Callithrix jacchus: one gene and its partner. The protein of the gene in region 2 interacts with the protein of the main gene of each other region in a biochemical or structural test. Links are inferred from orthologs where the notes say so. Each region holds a gene or a part of one and is shown on either strand. Other genes may lie near its edges.

What was found.
Region 1: the proteins of TNKS2 (region 2) and LNPEP form a complex in vitro, tested with the Homo sapiens proteins (4 studies listed by BioGRID and IntAct, with this or other methods). The link is inferred for Callithrix jacchus from reciprocal best matches to the Homo sapiens genes TNKS2 and LNPEP.

Annotation. Positions count from the first base shown.
Region 1 is NC_133503.1:113,668,054-113,677,213, forward strand, and holds the start of LNPEP (leucyl-cystinyl aminopeptidase), read right to left. Parts: upstream 4,588-9,160; 5' UTR 3,778-4,587; coding exon 3,759-3,777; intron 3,231-3,758; exon of another isoform or gene 3,065-3,230; intron 1-3,064. UniProt on the Homo sapiens protein: Release of an N-terminal amino acid, cleaves before cysteine, leucine as well as other amino acids. Degrades peptide hormones such as oxytocin, vasopressin and angiotensin III, and plays a role in maintaining homeostasis during pregnancy.
Region 2 is NC_133513.1:84,571,692-84,580,790, reverse strand, and holds the start of TNKS2 (poly [ADP-ribose] polymerase tankyrase-2), read right to left. Parts: upstream 5,648-9,099; 5' UTR 5,340-5,647; coding exon 5,141-5,339; intron 1-5,140. UniProt on the Homo sapiens protein: Poly-ADP-ribosyltransferase involved in various processes such as Wnt signaling pathway, telomere length and vesicle trafficking.

The DNA of each region.
Region 1 (9,160 bases), on a different chromosome or scaffold from region 2:
AGGGTTTTCTTTCAATGTGGAAATTTACCTTAGAGCAAGAGAAAAATAAAAACAATACGTGGTATGCTCACATTTTTGAGAAGTAATGCTAAAAAGTTTTTTAAGAAAGACATGCATACCTATAGAGCAATTGTCATGTGTAAGATTAAAAGATGGAATCACAATTTTATACTGTGTTACAAGCCACAAATATCTCATTTGTTGTCCAGACTTCCCTTTTTGGAAGTTGAAAAATACTTTCAATTGGATACCAATCTGAAAATGAAAACAAAAATAACTTTTTAAGACAGTTAAGTCCTCCTTGTTTGATTATGCACCACGCTGTGGTAATAAAGTGATTCATGGGACCTATGTTCATATTAAAAAAACAAAAAACTTTAAATTATGTTTTCGGTTCTGTGACCTCAAAATACCAACCACTAGATTTACTTTAGAATATATCACAAACTAGAAAGTATATATACTTTGGGCTGGGCACAGTGACTCATGCCCATAATCCCAGCACTTTGGGAGGCTAGGGTGGTCAGATCACTTGAGGCCAGGAGTTTGAGACCAGCCTGGCCAACATGGTGAAAACTCTGTCTCTACTAGAAATACAAAAATTAGCTGGGCATGGTAGTGTGTGTCTGTAATCCCAGCTACCTGGGAGATTGAGGCAGGAGGATTGCTTGAACCGGGAGGCGGAGATTAGAGTGAGCCGAGATCATGCCACCGCACTCCAGTCTGGGCAACACAGTGAGGCTGTGTCTCAAAAAGAAAGAAAGAAAGTATACATAATTTCTAGTATATATTCCATGTATACTCAGACCTCTTCAATCAGATTCTGAGGGTGAACCTTGGCATTTGCATTTATTAACATGAATTTAAGATTTTCCGAAATATACCAACCCTGCATACAAATGATGACAAAAAAGCTGGATAAACATCAAATAATTTACCTTAATCTAATACCTCTATCAAAAAACATAGTTGCCTTCAATTTTTGTTTGTTTGTTTTTTAATATACAAATCACTATTACCTAACAGTTTACCTCCACCTGCCTAACAAGACATAGTCATTATTGCCAAAACAATCTTAAGTACTGGTCCAGCATATCTCTCATCATAAAAAAGCCACCAAAGATCCAAACTCAGACCAGATGTCCAGACTTCAACATAATAGCAATTTTTCCCAAGGACAAAGCCAAAAATCGATCCTGACCTAAATGGGAATTCCTAGCACTAAGATCCATCCTTATAAGCCCTTTCTGGGGATATGCATTTTAAGTGGATTGTAGAAGTATGTTCCCTGAACAGGTTAACATAGGATATTCATCAAAAGAATCAATTATCAACAGGTAGAGAGTGAGCAGGGCCCAACAAAAATAGGTCATACCAGTAGCAACTTTGGACAGAAAACAGATGAGTGTTGAAGGTCAGAGGGACAAGATATAAACTACATTCACTTTCTTTACAAATGTATCAGTCAGTAGGTGGAACCACTAACAAGATTTTAACTAAAAGATATGCAGTCCTAAATTACTGAAACTGTTTTTTGTTAAGCTCCCACACCTCTCTACATATACAGGGATACATGAGAAAGCGTTAAGTGAGAAAAATTCCATTAAAAGAGGATGAACGTGTAACAAAATCCAATACCAGGCTTGAAAAATCTTGCAATCATAAATTCTGTGGATAATGAAATACTCTGCATCGTCACACCCAGACCAATAAGAGCATTATATATGCATATTTTTTGTACTCAGAAGGATGAAGTATGTAACTGTCTACTGTACCACGTCGTTTGAAAACACTAGAAAATTCTACAATTCTTCAAGTTTTCAAATAAATACCCTGTCCATCTTAAACTTGAAATGCACTTCAAATTGCTAACATCGAATTTATTGTTGACTGTAGATGTTGTCACTTCTATTTTCCTTGTAAAAGGATGCTAAATAAGGTTCCAAAGAATGATTGCTACGTTAACCAAAATTATGCACTGCCAAGCTGTCTCCAGCATCAACTCTGAAAGACAGATAGGAAAGAATCAAAAATACAGTTTCCTACATGAAAGTCGAAGCATTGCTTCTTTCTTTGTTCTCTTCTGTGGGATTTTTCCATTGTCCTCCCAAATGTGACAATTTGCAAATACCCATATCTAGAAGCATATTCTATGAGAGAAAAGACCCCAGTTTTGAAACTCGAAAAAGTGCTTTAATAATTGTAAGCAAAGGTTCAGCAAATCAGCTAGCACTAATCTTGACCAAATGGGTGAGTCAGCCTTGTCACAGAGATATTTAACATTTAAAATCCTACAAACATGGTAACTCCAAGCATTCTACCAAGAACAAAGAATAAACCCTTGAATAATCACTTGTAAGGACTAACAACTTGTATTTAACATATTTTACACTGAAGTACTAGATGGTCTCTATAGTTCCTTTTAGCTCAAACCTTCCTTAATTTTTCGAGTAACTTCACCAGACTATTCTTTGAGTCTTAGTAATTACAAATAGGACCTGAATGAGAAAGAAAATTCAGAATTAAAGTTCTTATCAGTAAGCCTAATTAAACAGTACAGACAGAAAGATGGCAGTAGAATAAAGCATTCTACATTAGGAGAAGGGAGAATATAATCAGTAGTTCGCAGCCCCATCAATGAAGCGCAGCATACAACAAAGTCTGGCTGGGATTTGGGATATAATGGACAATATCTGTCTGCCCTTGGGTGGCAACTAACATACCTATACAGTGATAGACAGTGGAGCCTTTGAAAGCGATACTCCACCTGAAGTAACCAACCACCCTCAGGAAAACATGTCAAACCAGAGAGTGAATCCTCTAATTTTAGTGAGTTGTTTCCCTTACTGGCAGTTTTCCTACTTTCTATCTTAAAAGGAAATCCACACACTCAGCGCCGCAAAATGGTAAAACATCTCACCCCTATATTGTGACTCTGGCACCTGTGGTCAGAACAAAAGCTATCGTTTTAACTAGGGTAGGATTTATGCTCCCGGTTCAGTAAAGGGCAGTGGCTACCGGCAGGGTGCAGGCAGGCTCCCTGCGTTGACTCTCGCTTCCTGTCACACTGTGGTTATCACCGTGACGGACCCTTGACATTAACAAGTCTTCGACTGAATAACTGATGGGACCTGCAGCCGGTGAGGGGGAAGCATGGTGGCCCTGCGGAGTGCCTTGGCGGGGCCAGGAGGATGGCACTGCGGTCAGGCATCTCTGAGGCCCCGAGTCGGGTGAGCGAGCCTTTCTTGAAGTTTCCCTTCCTTCCACAACAAGCCTCCCACCCTCTCCCCCACCCCCGCCCTGGTAGGAAAAGTCACACCGGCAGCTCACTGAAGGGCAGTGGGACAGCTCCGGGCGCCCCACAAAAGTTGGGTTGGGCAGCGGCCACAGCTTAACGCTCCTGCAGGAGTCGGGCCGACACCGCTTCCTCCCGGGGCAAACCTGAACTGCCAACTTTCCCGATGCCCACTCCTCTGCGCGCAGCAGCCCAAACTTTGAGGTTCGCCCACCGGCCGCACCCCGGGCTTGCGGCGGCGGCGCTGACCTTCACGCGAGCCCGGGGCCCAGCAAAGGCCGCCGCCCGCCCCCCCAAGTCCCATTTCCCTGCCTCCCCAAGATCCCATCTCCCTGCCTCCCCCAGCCCTCGTGGTAAGCCGGCGGGGGGAAGATGGCTGCAGCCCGACTCCGCGTGTCACGACTGCCCACGGCCCTCGGGGCTCTAGAGAGCCCGTGTCCAGGTGCCTCGGCCGCCCACTCACCATTGGTGAAGGGCTCCATTTTACCCCCGCCGCGGCTCCTCACAGCCCGAGCGCCCGAGCTTCCTACTCCGAGAGCTGAGGCGGCCCTGCCGACTGAGCATGCCCAGCGCGGCCTCGGAGGGCTGCCGGGGAGGTGCCGCGAGGGGCGTCGCCGCTCCACTGCTCGATGGTTCCGCCGTTCCGGGTTTTCGCGGCGGCTGCAGAAAGAGCTAGGAAGCTAGAGGGAAAAGCACAGTCCGACCCCCGGAGGCTCCGCGGAAGGGCCAGGAAGGAGCGGGGTTCGCGTTGGGGGCGGGGCCTGGGGCGGGACCCGGAAAGTCCCGCCCCTACCTGAAGCGGCCCTGGCTGCGGCGCCCTCCCGGGAGGGGAACCAAGTTCAGTCACTCAACAAATGCGGGGCCCTACTGCGACCCGCCCGATCCTGGACTCCGAGCCACGTGCACTGCGCCGGAAAAACAGGGTCCCAGTCCCAGGAACGGTCATTCCAGAAACAGATCATAAATAAACACAGAAGACACACCAGTGTAAAGTCAATGCCCTGCTGCGCATTAAATCGAGTGATGTGATGCCCAGTGAGTGGGTAGCTAATTCGGATGGCGTGGTGAGGAGATGCCTCGCTGAGCAGGTGCCACTGAAGCCGAGGTCTGAAGGCAGAGCAGGAACCTGCGGGCGAAGGTCGCTATCCAAACTGCGAATCGCCGGTTTCCTTGGGGAGATTAGCCGCGGAGGGATCACTTCTCCAAGGACGGAGGGAGCGGGCGCTGTAGATATTTTCTGCAGAGATGTCCGCCCGCAACCGACTGTCCCTTGCGGGTGGTGGGGAGGAGACGGAAGAGAAGGCGGGGACCCTGCTGGGCCGAGGGCGCCCAGGAGTCCAGTCCCCCGACTCGCGGCTGCGGGCGCGGCCTCTAGGTGCGGGCGGATGACAAAACCCGGCGCCGGATCGTCCTGCCAGGGCCGCGGACGCAGCAGGATGTGGGCAGAAGGCCCGCCTGTTCCGAGCCTTAAATCAACACCTGCGGTTCCCGGGGTGACACCGCTGGGGCCCGCAGCGAGGCTCCGCGGTGCTAGGCCCGAGAAACCGAAACTTCCCTAGTCACCTCTGCTCCCTGGCACTCTCGCCATTGCCTCTAGCCCCAAGCCACCATTGTTAACAGTGCCAAATCGGACAGCCCCTGTAACCTCCGGGGCCGAACCGCCAAGGGCCCCGCGAACCCCGAGAAGGCTGGTCGGGGCCCGCTTCCTTTTCCCCCTTTCGGTGTGCGCATAGCCACCACCCTCGCCGCAGAGGCCACCGCCCTCCGAGCACGCCACCACCGCCTCCTCTGCCTCTTCCCATCCCTCAGCCCCGGCCCCTGCAGCGACTTGGCTCGAGCTGCACCTCACTGCGCCTGCCAACTGTCACACGCTCCGAGGCTGTCAACAGGGTGCCAGGGACAAACAAGCCGCGGCGAGCGCAAACAGCCTGAGCAAAGAGGGACGGTCAGGGTGTTGTTTGACCAGCACTAAGTCAAAGTGCAATACTGTATTTTAAACTGTCTATTGTATTACATCCCCCACAATACGCGCCTACTTGAAACTTCCAGCGGATACCAGCTACACTTAGAATAAAAATGAAACTCCTTGCCCAACTCTGGGTCCGCATCAGCACATGCTTACCATGTTTTGGCCACAGAGGCCTTCATGTTGTTCTTGGAAGTCGCCAAGTTCCATCCATCATTGTTAATCATACCTTTTGCACGCTCCTCGCACAACTGTTTCTTCTGCTTAGTGCTTTGCCTACTGATTCCATCTTGTCATTTATGTCTCGGCTCAAATGTCACCTCTGCAAAGAACCCTTCTCTGACTATACATGTAAAATAGCCACAAACACGGTCTGCACTATAAAGCCTTGGCTTTGCTTTATTTCCTTCTCAGCACTCACACTGTCTGAAACAATGTTTTGAATTTGTTGTTTATTATCAGCCTCCCTCTCAAGAATGCAAGCTCTGTGAGAGCAGAGTCTTTATCTTTTTTAAGGCTGTATCACCAACGCCTGGGTAAGTATACAGTAAATAATTTTTGCATGAATAAGTGAATGGACGTAGTGGTGTTGAGAGTTTTTAAGTTCACTTCCACTGCTGCAAACCCTTTCAGTTAATGACTCCATACTGAATGATGTGTTTGATCAGTACAGAAAAGGTGTCTGTATCATATGATACCTCAGAGCTGCTATCTCCCTAATGTGTAAGGTAATCAGAGCCCTTAGACTGGCCCCTTGTACTGGCATTTCAGAACCAAAAATAGTGAACCATAGGGGCTGATATATCCCAGTTCAGAAATTATATAGTATATGCAGGGCTAGATTTTGTTAACATACTTCACACATTGTATTGCTTAAATAACACTCTTCTCTCTATATTTTAGGTCATGTCATGTTCCCTTGGAGTTACTTTTGCAACCAAAGCATTTAGTATAGGAGATATTTAAAACACTGCAGCTTGTTAAATTGCCTCACCTCACCTCACCTGTAAAGGGTCGTATCATGCTTTTGAGTGTGAAACATGTTACCTAGTGTTCTGTTTTAAATACCCCAACTCTGCAGACTTTTGTGGTAAAAATGCACTAGCAACTATAGGTGGATCATTATGGTCTTTTTGAAATTTTTTTAACAAAGAGACAAATAATTTCTTTGCCTACCTCTTGTCTCCCACCCCTTCCATTCCTTCACACCCACAAGACATAAAGGACCCTTTACAGACATGTAAAAATACAAAAAAATAAAATTAGCCAGACGTGGTGGTACACACTTATAATCCCAGCTCTTCGGGAGGCTGAGGCATGAGAAGCTGAGGCATGAGAATGGCTTGAACCCCAGAGGAAGAGGTTGCAATGAGCTGAGATAACACCACTGCACTCCAGTCTGGACAACAGAGCAAGACTCCATCTCAAAACAAAACAACAGAAAAAAGACATGGTTTTGTATCGGAAGTAAGAATAGTAAACCAAAACGTCAAAATATTTCAGAATGCTACCTAGGAGCCAAAGAATAATAATAAAGTTTGTTTTGCCTCGTTGGAAACTGCTTTACATTTGACTTCATAGAGCCTAATTTCACAACCAAAACCCATTATGTTTTTATCTTTAACACCTGCCTATCCTCCCACACAGAACTTCCTCTTTAGTTTAAGAATATGACACTTTAAATTATTATGAAGTTACTATTCATTATCAAATGAAATAATGTGACATTGTCTGCTATATCCATCTACTGTCTTCAGAATCATCGTGGTCTACTATTCAACATTTGAAAACCAATAAATTGGAGAGTTAATTATAATACATAATAAATAGCATGACAGGAAAAAATATAAGCACCCTGAAAAAAAATTGCATTTGTTTATAAAGAACTGACAAACTTGATAATCAATGAATATAAGAATATTTTTATCAAAATAAAACACTTGGTGAAACATAGATCAGCAAATCTGAGCCTCACATTTAACAGATGAGGAGGGAACTACTGTCTAGAGAGGGTAGAATATTTACTCACTATCCAGGAGCAGGCATGGACCAGAACTCGGACCATCTGTGTTCTAAATCCATGTGTCAGAGTTTTCTGTTGCCTCCCAATTTCCACAAGCAAATTGGAGTCAATGACAACAATTCAGCAAAGGGATATGGCATAGATGGAAATATAGCTAATTTCAGCTATTAGAAGTTTATTCCATTAATTGTTTAATAAAATATTCCGACTTAATTAGTTGATATATTCCATAGGGAATTTGGATTCAGCCCTACTAAATGATCTAATTATTTTGAAATAAGCAGCAACAGTAATTCAGTGAACACCTTTGAAAATGTTATTTGTTCAGCAGTCTTGAATAAATGGAAGCTGCTTCCTGCCAGGACAAATCTGACCCTCATAAGATTTCCAGCCATCCGAAGGACTGAAGGACTCAATATCTCATTGCCTTTGTAACCCATCTGCAGCACACATACACTGCATTAATTAGTAATGTTTGAAGTTAAATCAAGAAAAGTTTAGAGCACAGAATAATAATTATCTAATAAAGTTCTTGTAGAGCTTAGGCATTAGCCAAAAGACACAGGCAAAAAAAAATGAAAGGTTATTATTTGGAAAGAACAGTGATATACTAGTTGATTCTTTGGGCTACCAAAGACAAAACTCTGAGTAAAACTAGCTTAAACATTTATCATTTCACATAACAAGTCCAGAGATAAGACAATCTTCAGTTATAGCTCACCAACTTCATCAAGAGCCCAACTTACCTCTCCCCACTCTTCAGTCCTCTATTTGAGCAATTTCCCAAAGCCTAGACTACCATATGGTCAAAAGTTGGCTGCAGCAGGGGAGGAAGAAGGAACTTACTCTTCTGTGTGTCTTTCTTGAGAGCAGGGGAGGCTTTTCTCAGAAATTCCCCACTAGAATTCTCCTTAGGTCTGATTTACTAAAACTGTACTTTGCAATTTGTACACCAGTCACAGGAAATGAAAATGACGTCACAATTGAGACACAGTAGGAAGGGGGCTTGGCTTCACCTCACCCCAACTAGAGCATTCTTTCATGCATCCCCACTGACGACAAAACCTCCAACACTACCTCACTGATGCCGTGATGTTTTAACCATGCCTTTTACTTAAAGAATTCCAGGAACTAGACTAGGCATAATGACTCACACCTGCAATTCCAGCACTTTGAGAGGCCAAGGCAGGAGGATTGCTTGAGCCCAGAAGTTCAAGAACAGCCTGTATGCCACAGCAAGACCTTGTTTCTACAAAAAACTGAAAAATTAGCCAAGCATGGTGGTCTGTCCCTGTGGTCCCATCTTCTCAGGAGGCTAAGGTGGGAGGACTGGTTGAACCTGGGAGGTGGAGGCTGCAGTGAGCAGCGATCACACCACTGCACTCCAGCTTGGGCAACATAGGAAGACCCTGTCTGGAAAAAAAAAAAGAATTCCCAGAACCAGCCTTAGGAGATGACCAAGGTTGTGGAGTGTCCTTGCTATGGAAGGAATGCTAAACAATTGATTTACAGCCTTGTTGCCTCTGGCCAGCCCATCAGGTGGCCCATTACTCAAGATAACCATAGCAACCAGGTAATGTTGACCCGCATAGCCTACCCATCATGTGCTTTGCCCAGTTCAGCCTGCATACCTTACCCCGATGTCAGTTCCTGCACTACTAGCTCTATTTGGGGAGTCAGTCAGGAAATTCTCTCTTTCATGCTACCTCCCTTGCGTCCAACCATGAAGGCCTTGTCAAATGAAACTCTTTTGGCCTTATGTCAATTTCTATTGCATTGGGAACTCAAGAACCAGTAACCTGCTTGTGGCAGGTAAGTCCAGAGTTCACATGACATGGTAACACCATTACTAGTTTCTTATACAAAGTACAGCCTA
Region 2 (9,099 bases):
TATGTAGTATGAATCTACTGTAAAGTACTTACAGTTAAGCAAAGCAGGCCTATTTGTAAAGTGTATTTGTTGACCACATTAACCATGTGTCAGTTAATAGCAAGTATTGTGTCCTGTTCATTTCTGTTTTCTCAGGGACAAGGTCAGGGTCTGGCATATAGAAGGACTTGACAAACGTTTGTTTAATGCCTGTCTAATAATACTCTGCTGGAATAGCAAAGGACCCTCACAAAGAATATGGTGTTAATGATTTGTGACAACTAAGAAAAGCAGTCTCTTGTCAAATTTATTACTTATCTAGATGCCATCAGTTTCAGCAGCTCCAGGTACTGCTTGCCAACCATGACTATTATTTATAGTATCATATTTTGCTGTTATACTGGAAACATGCTTTCATCTGAATGGCTTCCCAAAAGCTGTGAGGCAGTCAAGTCACTATAGAGAAACCAACTTAGACTCTTGGGAAGTTTAAGTGCTAACCCCCTCCTGTCTTTTACAGTCCAAAGGTGGGATTAATAACTGATAATACAACTGGTCCCATACGAGATGGTGATGTTTTGCAATATCTAAAGGTAGGCTATCACACAGGGTTTTGTCCAAAGGCAAAGTTCTGGAAAAATGTCAACAAATGCCACAAAAGAAAGCTCCTGTGGTCTGGGAGGCTGGAAGGTATAATCAAACAGCTTTAAAGCAACCTTTAGCCAGGATGCTTAGTGACAGATTTTTTCTGAGGAATTTCATTTTAAACTTCTCATTTACTATTTTATATTACAAGGTTTCCCTCTGTTGCCCAGGTTAGAGTGCAATGGCACAATCTCGGCTCACTGCAGCCTTGATCTCCCTGGCTCAAGTAATCCTCCATCTGTAGCCTCCCAAGTAGCTAGGACTATAGACCATGCCTGGCTAATTTTTCTATTTTTTTTTTTGTAGAGACAAAGTTTCACCATGTGGCCCAGGCTGCTCTTGAATTCTTGAGTTCAAGTGATACTCCTGCCTCTGCCTCCCAGAGTGTCAGGCCTGTGCCACCATGCCCAGCTCATTCATTTTTCTTTCTTTTTCTTTCTTTCTTTTGTAGAGATGAGGTTTCACCATGTTGCCCAGGCTGGTCTTGAACTTTTGAGTTCAGGTGATACTCCTGCCTTTGCCTCCCAGAGTCCTAGAATTATAGTGTGTGGCACCGTGCCTGGGCCTCATTTACTATTAACTTTAGTTTCCTAAGATCCAGCAAAATTATTTCCCACATATGTTTCTTAAGAATGAAGAATACAAAGGAGAGGGTTTTGCCCATCTCTACTTGGGATAGATATACTGTCCGGAGAATACTGAAAGGAGTATTCCAAACTCTTGTTACTGAAGCCAACTGTCTACCTCTAAATTCAGCAAGAGCTGAGGGAAAAGGTATACCTCAAAATCTTAAAATAGATTGGGAGATTTGATAAGTAAAGAAAGATTATGAATTCCTAAACAGACTAATCTTTATTTGATACTAGGGTTTCCTGCTGATACATATATGATTTAATTACATTCCATAGCAAAAACCAATCCTGAAAACAACAATCTATAATTGTAGTTCTAGGTTGAGTAAATTTTGTGCATCTCTTACAACTATGATGTTGACCTACAGCCAAAGAAAGGTTATTGGAGGTCTCCAATAGTTATCATTTTGGGAAAGGATATGAATGGCAATCACAAAAAATAGTATATCTTTGGTAGTTGAGCAGCTAAAACCTTCAATTGGAGGGAAATCTTCCCACTTTCTTGTACCAACCTGTTCGCTGAACTAGGCTGAAATCCTCTGTACAACATCTCTGAAAAAAGCCAATAGAGCCACTGCTTGGATACTTCAGCCAGTTCAATGGCTGAATATTGTTAAAGGCTGTCTGACCCCTTCTAACCTTTCACCTATTGGCCTTAGTTTTGACAAGTAATATCTACGTACTCTTTGTGATTCTTCCACATGTGAAGACAGTAACATGGTGTAGTCTTCTTCCATCTCTAGAATAAGCAGCACAAATTTTCCTATCTATGCTTGTGCAATAAATTTCAGATGCTCTGATTCTACTTTCCTCCTCTGGATAAAAAAAAAAAATCCCTTATACTTGATTCACAGACTTGAATATAATAATCCAAGTTCGGTCTAACTGGTCCAATGTATATGGTTCAGTAGCATACTCATACTAACAGTAACATAACATACTATAAATATAAAACAAGTGTTACCTTGTTTAGTAGGACTCTACAATGCAAGCTCCTATCCTGCTCCAAGAGTTCTAAGATTGTAAGGAATGCCACATATTTTTTTCATTTCTATGATGGGCATAAAGATGACTTTCTCCCCAAGTTTGTGTCACTTCTTTACTTTTTAGAAGTAAGTTCAGAGAAGCAGTCTTCTTTACTGAAATTTGCTGTTTTCTAGGGCATTAACTTGTTAAGAATCCCAGATACTTTTGCTTTTAGTAAAATTAGAACAACACCTACCCTACTACCACCAACTTGCCTCTACAAGTTCTATTATGTGCTGCCAAAAAATCATTCCTATCTTGTGTATGTATGTCTGTGTATGGTGGGGGGCAAGTGGCAGGCAGACTGAAAAGGAAACAATTTTCAGTCATTTTTCTCCTAAGAAATTACTTCTTTAATATTTATCTAGAAGAAAAGCATGCAATCTAGTTCAATAATAAAAAAAAAACACCTAGGAGTAGAAAATTTCTGTTCATGTTGACTATCTTTTTCATTAACAGAACTTAATTGTCTTGGTGCTGGCAACTGATTATTTTTCTAATTGAACTAACTTTTTTGAGGATGAAATTAAACCAAATTTTTTCTAAACTGATTTTCATTTTTTGTGGTCTGTGTGCACCTCTCAGTCCTAATATTACTTGGGAATCAAAACAAAACGACAAAAACATGCCTTCCCCCAATAAAACCTCCAAACTTTAATCAGCTAAAAAATTTTTTAAAATAATAATGTCCCCCAGCCTCTCCAATAGCTCACCCTATGATTGATGTACAAACACAGGAAACTGCTTGGTCAGGCAGTTATATAATACTACCACCTATGTTGAACTTCCAACAGCATGCTTGCAGGCACATTAAGATGACAGATAACTCACTACCTACCTACAAGAGATTACACAGTGTATTCTCCACATATTGAGTGAAAAGTTAGTTGGATGCACTTAAAAAACTTCTCTCTGATAAACCTAAAATTTAGATTAAATTTACAAAGACAATTTTTTAAAAAGTTTCTTATATGCCTGGATTTAAGTACAGGACTTTACAAGTTCTGGTTGAATGAAGATTCCCCGCCCCCCACCCCTGTTAATTTTTATTATTCCCCTTTCATACCTGTAACTATTAATCTTATAACCTACACCTGATAATTTGGGTAAGTTGTGAGGGGTGGGTGGTTTCCAAAATATTAAGTCTTCCATTTCAACTTGAACAAACAAAATGAAATCTATGTAAAAAAATGCTCTGAAATGTTGGAACAGAACTGAGGGTAGGAAGTTAGAGAAGGAACAAGGTCACTGAGCTAATACCCATAACCTTACACCTCTAAATATTACTATTTTCAGATATGAACTCATTAATATACCAAATTCTTGAAAGGTAGCAACTAAGATCTTTCTTGGCTATTTTTATCCCACAGATCAAATGAACAGACTTTAAGTAACCCTACCCTTTGGCTTATGTATCAGTTGGTGGTGATAGTTTGCCAAATCAGTTGTTTAAATGTTGACTAACTACATGGTCAAACAGGACAATCTGAATTGGCTGAAGAACAGCAGCACTTACCATCAAGATTTTGGGTAAAATTTCGGCTAACTAGGTGTGATTTGACTTAAGTATTCTTCCTTCTCTTTCTATTGCCCAGAAACTGTTTCTAGTTCTCCGACTAGGTTCCCTAGACTTTCTTTTCTTAAAAAGACTCCCCAGTAGAAATTCCAATAAAGATGCAATTGATCAAAAAAGCATACCTCCTGGTAGTGTTTACATTTAAAACCCGGAACAGGGTAAACCGAACAAAACTCCAATTGGTAGAAAGTGTAAAAGTAATGTTTGTGAAAGAGGAAATCTTCCTCACTGCTCCTTTTCTCTTCATCAATCTAGCCCCAAAAGAACAGAAACACTTTAAAAGGTATTCCCTGCTTTTTCAAAAAAATTGTTTTTAACAATCATGAAATACACAAAACAAAAAACCAGGATGGTCGGAGGTAAGAGGAGGTACTCCGATTTTCAATCACACATGGCTCACCTGAAGTTAGAAACTGTCATGATCTTTTCTACAAGTGAAAAATATGTATGCTTTATGGGAATAAGCTGACTATCCCATCTCTGGTTCTTTTAAATTCTTCGACTAAATTTAATATGCTTACATCATAAAGTGAACCTAATAAATATTAAAAGAAAGTAATTCAAACGATCTAATTCTCAAAATGAAGCAAGGTTAGTTTCAGCTTATATTCTAGATCCAAGCTAAAGTACTTGCACCATCTTTTCTACTATACTACTACTTTCCACCTCAACTTGTGTGTGTGTGTCAAAGACTTCCCGCACCCAGCCTAGTCAGATTTCAGTTCTCCCAAACTTGCCTATTTCCAGTTGTAGTCACTCCAGAAACTTGCTGATTGGCTATTCTGATAAATCAATTAACGCTAATGTGTCAATGGCCTATTAAACTACTCCTCCGAAATTACATCCTTGCATTTTACAAAGTCCTTCAAGACCTTAATCCAAATGGAACTTGCCAGAATGAAAAATTTTGGAGGTAACTGATCGTTTAAATCATAGGTCTATTTACTAAAGTCCCCTACTCTTTCTTGTGTGTAGACGCCTTCTAGGGTAACAAGACCGGAAGTTGGTACAGGTATTGTAGCAACAAAACAAAGCCAAAACCCCAAACCACCCTCCACCCTCGGCAAAAACAAAATAAAACAAACCAAAAACTTCCAGTGAGTGTGGCACGCTCACCCAACCCCCCAATCTCCCCAGTCCCCACTGGAAGAGAGGGAGATCACCAGGACCACAGTCCTTAGGGGACAGGTCGAGGAGTGGAGGAGCACTGGTTTCAGGCCTACGAGCCCCGGATGCGCAGGTGGGGTCTAGAGCGAGGCGAGGGGGCGCTGGCCCGGGTTACCTGCGGCGAAGTGCAGTGGGGTGGATTTCCTGCCCGCCGTGTCGCGGCTGTTCACCTTCTCCGGCGTCACCAGCCTCTTGACTCGCTCCACATCCCCATTGCGGCACGCCTCGAATAGCTCTCGGGCAGCCGGCTCCATTGCCTCGGCCGCCGCACTCGCGCAGGCCGCTCCCCCGCCCGCGCAGCGGCGGCCCGACATGATCCTGGCCGCCGCCGCCGCCAGCAGCAGCGCCAGCAAGGGCAGTAGGAGCCCCGGCCCCACGAGCAGGAGGGCGAGGCCCCCCGGAGGAGAGGCGCTCAGGGCCCGGGCCGGTTGGCTCCCTGCTGTCACCGGATCCGGCGCAGTCCCATGGCCGCGCCGACGCGCGCCCTTAGCTCGGCTCCCTTCCCCCAGCTGCCCTGCAGCTGCGGAGGCAGCGCGAATCCGCCGGCCGAGCCCTGAAGCGACGCGGCCGCGGAAGGTGGCAAGGTCCCTCCTGCCAGCTCCGCCGAGCCCTGGGAGAGCACGTGACGTTGTCCCGCGCGTGCGCAGTAACCGGGAATCGGCCGTGCAGGTTTCCGCGAGCTGGGCTGCGCGGAAGGGTTTGTGGGAAATATGTAGTGACGGGCTTCGCAGAAGGGGCTTCGTCCCATCGCCATCTTTGCGGTGGGTTCTGCTGAAGCTGAACGGTCCTGCATATTGTTTATTTTTTTAAGCCCTGGGCTTTTCAAGCTGAACTTCCTCACTACCATTATACTGAAAAAGAGCCCTTGAAAGTTTTGCTCCATCTTGCATATTCTTTTGGAAGTAAATTGTACGTATTTTCAGCTTCTACATCCATTTTTTTTTCTTTACTGTGTCTCTTTTCTTTCCTCCTCAACTGCTTTGTTGTTGTTGTTTCTTGTGAAACATTTCTCAAAAGTGAACGAGTTGCCATTTAATTAGAAGTTTGGATGAATTGCCCCCAAAATAAAGGAAATCAGAACATATATGAAAGTTGACTCCAGTTGGGGGGATGGCTCTGATCAATTACTCTTTCCTTAGTAAGTTATTAGCTCAGGTTTGATTAGAGGAACTTTATGTAAATCAGTATTGTACCCGACAAGCCTGAAGTTTGGATACACTGGGCATATGCATCTCCAAGAAAGTTTTCTGAGTTGTAATTTTTTTCTTTGGCCAACAAATCAAAGAAAAGCACGTAATTGATTTTCATGATTAAGGTAGTGGGGTAGTTTTATACGCTGATTCCCCATTACACTCCCTTGTCTTAAAAAACGGAAACTATGCATATACATACATTTTACTTACAGAAGATGATACAGGTTGACCTTTGGCATTCTGAAAAACATACCGCCCCCCCCCCCCCCCCGCCTTAACCTGTTTTTCAGGAAATCCAGTTTTTGTTGGGGAGTGTTGACTCACTACAGTGCTAAAAGAGGATGTACACTTTTTTGAGCATTTTTATAAATATGGAATTGAAGTTATGGTAGATATCAATAAAGTGAATATGCACGAACGCACCTAAGGACTAGAACACTACCAATATGATTGCATTTATCATTTTTCTTTCCATAAATCTGCTATGGTGATCTATGATCAGTGATCTTTGAAAACACTATTGCAATTGTTCTGGGGCACCCCAAACCACACCCATAGAAGACAGCAATCAATCAGTCAATGTTGTGTGTGCTCTGACTGCCCCACCGACAGGCTATTCTGCCATCTCCCTCTCCTTTGGTCTTCTGTTCCCTGAAACACAACAATATTGAAATTAGGTCAGGTAATAACTCTACAATGGCTTCTAGGTATTCAAGTGAAAGGGAAAGTTGCATATCTCTCACTTTAAATCAAAAGCTAGAAATTATTCAGCTTAGTGCAGAAGGCATGTTGAAAGCTGAGATAGGCCCCCTTGCACCAAACAGCCAAGTTGTGAATGCAAAGGAAAAAATTTTTTAAAGAAAATTAAAAGTGCTATTCCAGTGAACACACAAAGGATAAGAAAGTGAAACAGCCTTACTGCCGATATGAAGAACGTTTGAGTGGTCTGGATAGAAGATAAAACCAGCCACAACATTCCCTTAAGCCAAAGCAGAATCCAGAGTAAAGCCCTGACTCTCTTCAATTTTGTGAAGGCTGAGAGATGAAGTTGCTAGAGGCATGTTAGAAGCTGGCAGAGATTGGTTCATGAAGTTTAAGGAAAGAAGCTGTCTTTATAATGTAGAAGTGTAAAGTGAAGCAGCAAATGCTGATGTAGGAGCTGCAGCAAGTTATCCAGAACATGGGTCACCAACCTCAGCCCTCGGGAGGTACTGGTCCCTGGCCTGTAAGGAACAAGGCCACAGAGCTGGAGGTGAGCAGAGAAGGTGGGGAGTGGTGGGGTGGGGGGTGGATGGAGGGGATGGAGTGGGAATAGGCCGGTAGTGAGCATTACTGCTTGAGCTCCTCCTCCTGTCAGATCAGCAGCAGCATTAGATTTTCACAGGAGAGCAAACCCTACTGTGAACTGCACATGTGAGGGATCTAGGATGAGACTCTAATGCCTGATGATCTGAAGTGGCACAGTTTCATCCCAAAATCATTCTCCACCCCCACGCCCCTCCACCCCCACCCCTGGTCCATGGAAAAATCATCCTCCACAAAAACCTGTCCCTGGTGCCAAAAAGGTTGCCAAGAAGATCTAGCTGAGATAATTGATGAAGGTGGCTACACTAAACAATACATTATCATTATAGATGAAAGTCTTCTATTGGAAGAAGATGCTGCCATCTAGAACTTTCACACCTACAGAGGAGAAATCAGTGTCTGGCTTCAAAGGAAAGACTGACTTTCCTATTAGGGGCTAATGCAGCTGGTGACTTCAAGTTGAAGCCAATGCTTATTTACCATTCTGAAAAGCCTAGGGCCCTTAAGAATTATGATAAATCTATTCTGTGTTCTATAAATGGAATAACAAAGTTTGGATTATGGCACATCTGTTTATAGCATGACTTACTGAATATTTTAAGCCTACTGTTGAGACCCATTTATCAGCAAAAAAGGTGACTTTCAAAATACTACTGCTCATTGACATTGTGCCTGGTTTCTCAAGAGCTCTGGTGGAGATGTACAAAGAAATCAATGTTGTTTTCATGCCTACAAACACGACATCCATTCTAGAGATGGATCAAGGAGTAGATGGTTCATGAATCAAGGAGTACTGTCAACTTTCAAGTCTTATTATTTAAGAAATACATTACATAAGGGTACAGCTGCCATAGATAGTGATTCTTCTGATGGACTTGGGTGAAGTAAATTGACAACCTTCTGGAAGGATTCACCATTCTGGATGCCATTAAGATTCATGGGAGGAGGTCAAAATATCAACATTAATAGGAATTTAGAAGAAGCTGATTCCATCCCTCATGGATGACTTTGACAGATTCAGGATTTCACTGGAAGAAGTAATTGCATATGTGGTGGAAATAGCAAGAGAACTAGAGGGGAGTCTGAAAATGTGACTGAATTGTTGCAATTTTATAATACAACTTGAATGAAGGCTGGTATGGTGGCTCAATCCTGTAATCCCAGCACTTTGGGAGGCTGAGGCAGGAGGATTTCTTGAGGCCAGGAGTTTGAGACCAGCCTGGTCAACATAATGAGAATACATCTGTACAAAAGATACAATTAAAAAAATTAGCTGGATGTGGTGGAGTGCACCTATAGTCCTAGCTATAGTGCACCTATAGTCCTAGCTACTTGGGAGGCTGAGATGAGAGGATTGCTTAAACCTAGGAATTTGAGCAAATTGTTTAAACCTAGGTGAGTTGTGATCATGTCACTGCATTCCACTACAGCCTGGGTGACAGAGACCCAGTCTCTGAAAACAAACAAACAAACAAACAAACAAACAAACAGAAAAACCAAGTTGAATGGATGAGTTACTTCTTACGGAGGAAAGAAAAAAAAATTTTTTTTTCACATGGAATCTACTCCTGGTGAA